Linked DNA regions of Saccharomyces cerevisiae S288C. Changing the gene in region 3 together with the main gene of any one other region gives a genetic interaction. Each region holds a gene or a part of one and is shown on either strand. Other genes may lie near its edges.

The links.
Region 1: mutations in SPT3 (region 3) and VID22 together harm fitness more than expected from each alone (negative genetic interaction), as found in Saccharomyces cerevisiae (3 studies listed by BioGRID).
Region 2: mutations in SPT3 (region 3) and SNT1 together harm fitness more than expected from each alone (negative genetic interaction), as found in Saccharomyces cerevisiae (4 studies listed by BioGRID, with this or other methods).

What each region holds. Positions count from the first base shown.
Region 1 is NC_001144.5:869,608-873,367, forward strand, and holds the start of VID22 (Vid22p), read right to left. Parts: upstream 1,761-3,760; coding exon 1-1,760. Other genes in the region: STP3 (Stp3p), read left to right, coding at 2,090-3,121; PSY3 (Psy3p), read right to left, coding at 3,219-3,760. UniProt on the Saccharomyces cerevisiae protein: Has a role in the negative regulation of gluconeogenesis. Imports fructose-1,6-bisphosphatase (FBPase) into the intermediate vacuole import and degradation (Vid) vesicles. This is an indirect role and requires cyclophilin A.
Region 2 is NC_001135.5:184,383-188,142, forward strand, and holds the start of SNT1 (Snt1p), read left to right. Parts: upstream 1-2,106; coding exon 2,107-3,760. Other genes in the region: BPH1 (Bph1p), read left to right, coding at 1-1,641. UniProt on the Saccharomyces cerevisiae protein: Part of the Set3C complex, which is required to repress early/middle sporulation genes during meiosis.
Region 3 is NC_001136.10:1,256,939-1,260,209, reverse strand, and holds SPT3 (transcriptional regulator SPT3), read right to left. Parts: upstream 1,515-3,271; coding exon 501-1,514; downstream 1-500. Other genes in the region: SHE9 (She9p), read right to left, coding at 1-309; IAT4 (Iat4p), read left to right, coding at 2,154-2,852. UniProt on the Saccharomyces cerevisiae protein: Component of the transcription coactivator SAGA complex. SAGA acts as a general cofactor required for essentially all RNA polymerase II transcription. At the promoters, SAGA is required for transcription pre-initiation complex (PIC) recruitment.

The DNA.
Region 1 (3,760 bases), on a different chromosome or scaffold from region 3:
GAAAATAAAATGGTTTTGAATTCTTGAATTTTAGACAAAAATGTTTCAAATGGTGCAATTAACCGTTGAAATTGTAGGCTGCCCAAGGTGGACAACAGATGCTTTTCAATAGACATTATGGCGAACAAAACATAGGTAAAGTTTAAGCTTTTGGAAGAAGTAAAGAACTTTAGTATTCTATTGATGGAATTCAAAGTAATTAATAAATAGTCTATTATTTGAAAGTCGATTTCGTTGAATTTTTCAATTTGGATAGAAGATTGATATTCTTCTATTATGGGACGAAGGTTCAAAAAAGTTTGCAGTGAAACGGTGGCGGTAGAGTAACGGGATAAATCGAATTTCGAACAAACGAATTCGAAGCCAAATTTTTCACACAATGAACGGAATTTATCTAACTGCCACGAATTAGATTGTAAATCATCCAAAAAAGAATTGATTCTGGAAAAAATGGAATTCGAAATATCTATATTTGACAAATCAATTAGAGAGTCCAATAAAGTCAAAGGTTCTTTGGAGAATGATGATTGTCTCGGATGCGTAATATCGGCGGATTTAGGCGTACCGAACAATGGCAATATCGCAGAATTTATTATGGAAATAATGCAATTGTGATAATAGTTTTTAGCATTCGTATACGTATTCGGGAAAAAGGGTTGGCTATCCATTACGTTTAGTAGATCTACTATTTGAGATCTTGGTAGAGTGATAGAAATCACAGTATTTTGTAAACCAGGTAATTCTTGTGAGATTTTGAGCAGTTGAGCTGGAATAGATAGTTTGGGGTCATTGTTATATTCATGTAAGTTTTGGATGATAAGGGGTAAAGTCTTTACTTGGGAATGAAAATCATCATAGTACTGAATACTCAATATAGATATCGTGTTATTCCAAACGGAGTGGCTTAGAGAGAAAAAATTGATTTTTTGCATTTCAAATAATTGGTTCTTCAACCTGTTTGATAACTGATTAGATCTATCGGTTGGGTCCATTAGTAAGTAGTTTTTGTCGATAATCAACGACAAATCGGAATTGTTTCGCAAAGCTGTCCTTTGAATGATTCTATCGAGATTATATGCGATGGACCTGATAGCATTCAGAATTAAGTCATGGTCAATGAAGCTTAGTGAGTTGGCGTTCTGATTGATCAAAAGGCGTACGGCAGTGTTGTCTACGAACGACAGAGGCAAGTTTTCTGATGCAATTATGATCGCAAGCGACTGCACAAGAGGCAAGGCCATTTCTTTTTCCCTAGTTCTCTTCAAAAAGTCCTCGTCTATTTCCAGCAGGTTAGCAATGCTGTTCGTTGTGGCGCTACCGCCTTGATGGTTCTTCAAAGGTGGTCTGACCATAAAAGTAGAACCTGCTTCTACGCCCGTCCATCCGCTATAGTAATTGGCATTCGGGTCTATCTTATGCGTGCTCCACAAATGAGTTTGCGAGGCTTCCGCCATGCTTATGCTGTTTCCTTGCCGTCTTATTATCACACCGCAGTACTTGCATTTTACTGCCTCCAGCATCTTGTCTACACCCAGAAAATGGCCCAAGTAGCGTGACCTGTCTCTGGTAAGCATATATGCGGGCACCCATTCGCTACCATCCTCTGCTAACGACTCCCTTTCCTCATCTCTATCTCCATCTGTATCTGTATCCGTATTTGTGGCCGTCGTAGCCGCCGTCGCCGACGATACAGTTGAATTCATGGGAGGCAACACCAATCCTCTTTCAGCACTCTGTACCTGTGTGTCCATCGCTCTCATATGTGCTCTCGTGCTTGTTTATCCTGTGGATGCTGCCAGCAAACTCTCTCTTTCCCATCTCTTGATGGTTCATGTTATGTGTTGTTTATTGTTTGCTGATCCCATTCGCGCTTTCCCGGCCGTGGTAAATGACTACACGGTGAATAATTGCGCCATTTTTTCGCCGTTGCGGTGTTTTTTTTGTAGCCGTTGGAAGCATGGCAGTACCATCTGGAACAAAGCAACGGTATAAAGAAGACAGACTGTTGGTAAGCGCTGCATGTTGGTGACAAAAAGTTGGTTTCGAGAAATCAGGGTGGGTGTTTTTTGTGTGGCATGTGCAGCGAGCGATGAGTAATGCAAACAATAGTGCTATGAACCACATCACGTTGCCTCCCATCTCGTCATTTGACAACCTTATCAAGGCAGCCGAGAGACAATATAATGGCGAGGCTTCGTCCGCCTCGACACATCCGACACTGCCTAATATGAACATTAGTAACGGCAGTGGCAGTGCGGGCGCATCATCGTCGATGCTGAGCTATCAGTTGCTTCCGCACTCCAATGATGTGTCCCGGTCGAACTCCAGCTCGAGCTTCCTTCCCTCCGTGCAGCAGCCTACGGAAGGTTCCGCTTCTGCATCGGAAACTTCTTCATCTGCATCACCTTCACGTTCCATTTCACCAATTTTAAAAGTGGCTGGTCCTTCATCTGTTGGCGGTGCCGGGGTGAGTACCCCCCATAGCACCAAAATCAATAAGCCAAGGAAAAAGAAGCAATGTCCAATTTGTCGTAATTTTTATGCCAATCTGACCACGCACAAGGCAACGCACTTGACGCCAGAGGATCGGCCTCACAAGTGTCCCATCTGCCACCGCGGGTTCGCCAGGAACAATGACTTATTGAGGCATAAGAAAAGACATTGGAAGGATGAGATACTGTCCCAATCGGGAGTACTTTCGAACCATAATGATGGTAAGGGAGGATCCGTTTCTCCCAATGATGATGATACCCATGAAAAAATGACACCGATGAATTCTGTCACAGATTATGCACAATTGAAATCGTTGCATCAAATCAAGGGCACATTCAAGTGCCCATTCAACTCCACCTTAATACAATTGGACATGGATATGTACCCGTATAAACTGAAACCTTTAAATTTTGAGACTTCCAATTGTCACCAGACGGGGGTGTTCTCACGTTGCGACACCTTCAAAAACCATTTAAAGGCTTTGCATTTTGAATACCCGCCAGGCACGAAGAAAAAGGATAGAAATGTTGTTCCTGGTAGATGTAAGCATTGCGGCCTGAAGTTCGAGAACGTTGACGTTTGGCTCAACGAACACGTAGGTAAACAATGCGGCTATAAATACCATTGATTCCCGGCAGCATAACGACTTTTCCCCTGTTTTTATTAGTACTAGTAGATATTTAATTTATGTATCTGAGTTTTTAATGTTTTTTTTCCTTCTCTTATCATTCTTCAAGTGCGGCTATCCTTCTGTACTGTGGCCTGCCGTCAACAACTTCTCTGTAGATTATCAGATCCATTCCCTTCATGTATGAATCAGGTAGTTTTGTGGGGTACAGTGTAACGCCGCTTTTCCTCTTGATTGACCACTTATCAACTAAGGTGTTTTCGATACCATTATAGAAGTCTGTGGGAAAACTTTTGGTGATGATCCAGCAGCCCAAAAATTCTCTTAGTTTCCTTAGAATCTTAAACAGTTTTTCAAATTTCGATAAATTTATTACATCATAGTTTTTGTCGCTTTCAAAATTCAAGAAAGACAAATTGTCGATTACTATTCCTCGTAATTGAAAGTTGAAATTATCAACCTGGCACCTCCTTAACGCATCCATGGGAGAGTCATACAGTAACTCTAGAAATACGATTAATCCCGTGATGTTTATGCAAGATAGCGAATTCATGTAGATCGCGCCATGCTGTCTTTGCTTTTGTTGGGACCATATTGATACTATATCTATGATTAGGATCTTTTCGTCCCCCGTAGTAC
Region 2 (3,760 bases), on a different chromosome or scaffold from region 3:
AGTGAGAAAAGGAAATTACAGTTTATAGAGCGTTATGAAGCTTTGGCTTCCCTGGAAAATGCTGATTCCGCACCATTTCATTATGGCACGCATTATTCCTCAGCTATGATAGTATCTTCATATCTGATAAGGCTGAAGCCCTTTGTCGAATCCTTTTTGTTATTGCAAGGCGGAAGTTTTGGCCCTGCAGATCGTTTATTTAGTTCGCTTGAAAGGGCCTGGAGCTCTGCTTCTTCTGAAAATACAACGGATGTCAGGGAATTGACACCTGAATTTTTTTTTCTACCTGAATTTTTGATCAACGTTAATAGTTATGACTTTGGTACAGACCAAAGCGGTAAAAAAGTTGACGACGTCGTACTTCCACCCTGGGCAAATGGTGACCCAAAGGTTTTCATTCAAAAGAATAGAGAAGCTTTAGAAAGTCCTTATGTATCAGCACATTTACATGAATGGATTGATTTGATATTTGGTTACAAACAAAAGGGGGACATTGCTGTGAAATCTGTTAACGTATTCAACAGATTGAGTTACCCAGGCGCTGTAAATCTAGATAACATTGACGATGAAAATGAGCGCAGAGCTATCACAGGCATTATTCACAACTTTGGTCAAACGCCTTTACAAATATTTCAGGAACCTCATCCGGAAAAAATAGCCTGCAATGTTCAACAGCTAACAACAGAGGTATGGCGTAAGGTTCCAATGAAGCCAATATTTGAGAAGACAATCTTTAATTTGAATGAAAAGAACAGGTCCGTCGATTATGTTATACACGATCCTAGTTACTTCGATTCATTATACTGGAGGGGCTTCGCTTTCCCAAACTTGTTTTTCAGAACGGAAGAATCGTTAGTGTCATTGAGAATTGTGCATAAAAATTGGTTAAAAATTGGACTAGATATTTTTAAAAAGACGCATATGGCTCAGATTACATCGTTTGCGTACTGGAAGTTGGGCGAATTCATAACTGGCGATAAAAATGGGCTGATAAAAGTTTGGAAATATCGTAAAGATAAGCATTCGGTTTCAGGTAACCTTGAGAACAAAAAAACAATGTTTGGGCACCTATGCGAGCTAAAGGAGATGCGCTGTTATCACGACTACAATACGCTTTTAACCTTAGACATCAGCGGCTTAGTATATGTCTGGGACATGATTAATTTCGAACTAGTAAGGCAAATAACAAATGATGCGCAAAAGGTCGCAATATCTCAACATGCAGGGAGCATTATGGTATTGACTAAGAATAACGCCATTTCGATCTTCAATCTAAATGGACAAATATATACATCAAAGAAATTCGAACCAGCTAAAATTGTAAGCTCAATTGATTTTTTTGACTTCACTAAGTTAGACGCAGGTTACAGAAAGCATATCTATTGGAAAGAGATGGAAATACTACTAGTGGGCTTTGAAGATGGAACTATAGAAATTTACGAGCTCTTTTTGAATTTTCATAATGAATGGGCGATAAAGCTACTGAAGCAGCTCTGTACCGAAAAAGGGAAAGCCATAACTAGCATTAAGGGACAGGGGAAGACATACCTGTCCCAGAAAAGACGCAAGGATACAGCAGAGCCTCATGAGATAGAAGTGATTGCGGGAACATTAGATGGCAGATTAGCTATTTGGTACTAGGCATCACATCGTAACGCCTTTCTTTAAATGATTCAATTTTTGTAGTTTATATCTTTACTTTTGAAACTGATTTCTCATCCCATCTAGTATTGTAATTGCGTACGTATCCAATATCATTACCAACGCCGGGTATTTTTTTCTAGTATTTCTTCTCCATTTCGCCTATGGAAAACGGCAAAAGGGTAAAAGAAAAAAACAAACGATTAATTCTTCTTTGAATTATGTAAAAATCAAAACGCAACCGCAGATTTAATAGAGACCAGAAATTCGGATTACTATTGACTTTGTGCACCACCTTCAAATTTACTCATTGTTTAAGACAGGCAGTGGGAAAGAAGCCGTCATATTGCTCGAATCCTTAACAAGCAAAATATACAACCACTAAATTATTCCGAAAGGGCCTGCTTAATAATTTGCCTACTAACTTGTGCATAGAACAGCAAACAGAAACAAAGCGTAAGAAACATGGGGTATCCGCCACCTACACGAAGGCTTGGAGATAAGAAAAGGTACCATTATTCCAATAATCCTAACCGAAGGCATCCTTCCGCTGTTTATTCCAAGAATAGCTTTCCAAAATCAAGCAATAATGGATTTGTATCTTCTCCTACTGCCGATAATTCAACAAATCCGTCTGTAACTCCCAGTACTGCATCTGTACCTCTTCCTACAGCGGCACCTGGAAGCACGTTTGGTATCGAAGCACCCAGGCCATCTCGATATGATCCGAGCTCAGTCAGTAGGCCTTCGTCATCATCTTATTCGTCAACAAGAAAAATTGGAAGCCGTTATAACCCAGATGTGGAAAGATCCTCTTCAACCACTAGTTCAACTCCGGAAAGTATGAATACGAGCACCATAACACACACCAATACGGATATCGGAAACTCACGCTATTCTCGAAAAACCATGAGCAGATATAATCCTCAATCTACTAGTTCTACAAACGTTACCCACTTTCCCTCGGCATTATCAAACGCTCCACCGTTTTATGTTGCCAACGGGAGTTCTCGGAGACCTCGATCAATGGATGATTATAGTCCTGATGTAACGAACAAGCTCGAAACAAATAATGTTTCATCTGTTAATAATAACAGCCCTCATTCTTATTACTCTAGGAGCAACAAATGGAGATCCATTGGAACGCCTTCCAGACCACCATTTGATAATCATGTCGGCAATATGACGACCACCAGCAATACTAACTCGATCCATCAAAGGGAACCTTTTTGGAAAGCAAATAGTACTACTATTTTAAAATCAACTCATTCACAGTCATCGCCTTCCCTTCATACTAAAAAATTTCACGATGCGAATAAATTGGACAAACCAGAGGCTTCAGTTAAAGTTGAAACACCCAGTAAAGATGAGACAAAAGCCATATCGTACCATGATAACAATTTTCCACCAAGAAAATCAGTTTCTAAACCTAATGCACCTTTAGAACCCGATAATATCAAGGTTGGCGAAGAAGATGCATTGGGGAAAAAAGAAGTACATAAAAGTGGGCGTGAGATAGCAAAGGAACATCCTACTCCTGTAAAAATGAAAGAGCATGATGAACTAGAAGCTCGCGCTAAAAAAGTAAGTAAAATCAATATTGATGGAAAGCAGGACGAAATTTGGACGACGGCAAAAACAGTGGCCAGTGCAGTCGAAGTTTCCAAAGAAAGTCAAAAGGAACTAACACGCTCTGTTGAAAGGAAGGAAAGCCCAGAAATTAGAGATTATGAAAGAGCATACGATCCGAAAGCCCTGAAAACAGACGTAACAAAGTTGACAGTAGACAATGATAATAAAAGTTACGAAGAACCTCTTGAAAAAGTGGAGGGGTGTATTTTCCCATTACCAAAAGCAGAAACGAGATTATGGGAATTGAAAAACCAGAAAAGAAACAAAATAATAAGTGAACAAAAGTACTTACTGAAAAAGGCAATTAGGAATTTCTCAGAGTATCCTTTTTACGCACAGAACAAACTTATACATCAGCAGGCTACCGGACTTATCTTGACGAAAATTATATCAAAGATAAAAAAGGAAGAACATTTGAAAAAAATAAATTTAAAACATGATTATTTCGATCTCCAGAAGAAGTATGAAAAAGAATGCGAAATTTTGA
Region 3 (3,271 bases):
TTGAATTGATTTTTTGGCCTTGTTAACTTGAAAGGATAATTGATCTCGGTGGAAGTTAAACCTAGAATACAATTCATTTAATTTCTTTTTCAAGTGCTGCCATTGAAGTTCTATATTTTCTTTCCAAACAGCGTTATTAGGTGTCCGTATTTCATTTTTATTAGTGCTGCCTTTATCAGGAGTATCACCGTTCTGTAGAGAATATGAACTATAATGAAATGGCCTGGTGAAAGATGACGCCCTCAACATTAATTTGTTAATGCTGAATACTAAGGGTAAGTTTCTTGTCGCCCCATAGTATCTCAACATCACGCAATTTTTTAATCACTGAGTTCACCCGTTACAATTTCACAACGAAAAAGACCCCAATGATCAGATAGTCCTCTTTATAACGCGTATCTACGTACATAATCTTTATTTGTATTTTTCAATTCATTTGGCTCACATTTATCATACCAGAAGGAAACCCATGCACCTCCATGATGAAATTATACAAAAATTTACATGATAATTGGTTTAGAACTGAGTCTACCACCTTTAAAGTTGGTCAAAGCCCTATGCCTCATGTCAATTGTTTGTAGTACTCTCCAGGCTTCCTCTATATGCCTTGGTTTGAGCGGGTTTATAACATTTTCAGGTCCATCAAATAATCTTTTCTTTCTATGTAATGTGGATGATGCAAATTCAAAGTTAGTATTATCTTGGCTAGATTGCTGGGATTTGTCCTTTTGAGTCTGTAATACCTGTTCTCTTTGTTTGATTTTCAGAGCTGTTTCCGTCAAAGAACAGACAATCTCAAAAGTTAGAAACCCCAGTATATCAATCACATCATCATGGGGTTTCCCCTCAGTTAATTGCGAAATTCCAGACCAGTCCTTGAACCTTTTATTCTTCCTAAATGTAAAACTTGCCTGTCGACAATCGGACCAATGCACGTACTCCTCTTTAGTCATGTTTCGTGTTCTATCGTCAGCCATTTTCAGCCTTTTCAAAGTGACTATATTAGCTTCTCGTTCATCCTCATCCATATCATCATTGTCGTCATTATTTTCTAAAGGATGTTCATTGAACATAAACTGCAATTCCCATGGCAGCTTAATTTGGGATTTCTTGACCTTCATCATGTTTCCACCATCTTTTTCGTCTTTCTCGCCACCACCTGCTTTTTTCAAATCATCTTCACCACCTGCCCCAGGATTTCCAGTGCCACTCGCTACACCGGCACTAGCATCTTGGTCCTTGGCGTTTTTACGCAAATCCTTCCATGACAGATATGTTCTCAAACGATTGACTTTGGCCTTGTCGTGTCTGATCAAGAAAATGACGTCTTCAGGGAGAATGCTCCTACTTCCCCTAAGATGCGCCGTTTTGTTTGACTGTAAAAGAATTTCTATCACTTGACCCCTCACTATATCTTCTATCAGTGATGTGGTTTCTACGGGTGGGTCGTTAATTTCACCAGAGACAAACATCATCTGTTGAATCTCCACACGATACTTATGCTTGTCCATCATTCCTGCCCTAATCTCTTGAATTTTGGCACGGTACCTTGTATGCACTCTTCCCCGGGTTCAGAGTGTCTTCAACCTTACTTTTTACTTTTCGTTTCCGCCGATCTATATTACATGGTTCGGATTTTCTTCTTTTCTGTGCGCTGCGCTTGAAGCCTCAAGAAAGGGCAGCTTTGAACAAGACGTTCTTGCGATAGAGATGAATGAGAATGCATTGAACGCAATGTATACCTATTTTGGCGGCATAAAAAACTTGTTTTCGAGATTGCAGTTGAATCTGAATGTAGCGAGGAGACGAACAAAAAATTGGAGTTCCTACTGTATTGCAAAGAAACTAAGAGACGCCCGCTAATGCTGCCGGAAATGTACGGTGATCTCTTAAAGTTGATTGACCGATAACGCAAAAATAATGCAGCAAACTGTAGATAACTCTTTTTTATCGTAATATTTCTATTAGTATCCAGATATTTCACTCCAAATCACAGCAGACGTTGGTGTGAACGGCATCAGAGTCCCAGGGGCTGAGATAAGTGAAAAAAATGAAATGCCGCCGGCGTATATATAACAGTTATTGTACCTGATATTATGCCAAGTCACTCACTAATCTCGAGAAAATAATTCTAAGACATGTAACCGAACATCATGTCCTTCGAGAACAAACTGCCAACTCCATTAGAAAACAACGATGCTAAGGGCCATATGGTCTGTACCCTGAACAAGACTACGGATGCCAGAAGAGCAGCAGAGACTTTGTCTATTGCTTTTAGTAACTCGCCAGCGTTTCATTTTATCTGCAAGAAAATCTTAAATATTCCTCTAGCTGAGAAGGTGCCTACAAGGACAATAACCACCGATATCATATCGCCATTCCTGGATTCACCTTATGGTGAGATCTCCGAAGTTAATACTTTCGATGCTGTTGCAGTGTGGAGTCTTCCACCTCACGTTCCGAAGGCAAGGAGTAATGATGCAAAGTTCAACAAGGACTTTATTGACGATTTAAATGCTCGCGTAAAGCAAGTCATTCCAAATGGCATCAATTACTACTATCTTTTCTGTATTGGTAAGAACTTAAATGAGAAAGGAATCAGAGGTTCTGTAAGGACTATTTTTGAAGAGTACAAAAGGAGAGCAGACGAAGAAAATTGCGCCATTGTCCTTGAAGCTATTGCCGAGCATGCTAAATCTGTGTACGAATATTTTGGATTTAGAAATTACATGACGTTCAAATACGGTGAGTGTGAGGTCGACTCTAACGGCAATTGCGATCCGAATGGTGAAGGGTTCACAGCCTATTTAATGATATATCATAAGGACGGTAATAAAGTCTTAAAAGAGTAGTTTTTGAGCTTTTTCTTTCCCCCCTTCAAGTAATTATTTAGAATAAAAAGTAGTGTTTAAAGACGACATTTTGGAGCATGCACTGTATAACCAGGTTCAAAAAAATTTCGCCTGCTATTGTTTTCTTTATTTTGAAGATGTGAGAAAAGTCTCATATCTAGTGAGCTTCAGTCTGTTTTTAGATGTAGTTAGCAATTACTATTTTAGGTATTTCTTTGCGCGGTTACGGTCTCAAGAATTTATATTACCACAAAACCTATGTAAGCTAGATCTTCTTAGCGAAAGTGGTTCAGTGGTTAGAATTCATGCTTCCCAAGCATGGGGCCCGGGTTCGATTCCCGGCTTCCGCATTTTTTGTGCAATTTTTTTTTATACTCTATTTTCAAGTTAAAGTTTTTCAAAGGCGAAGTATGTTTACG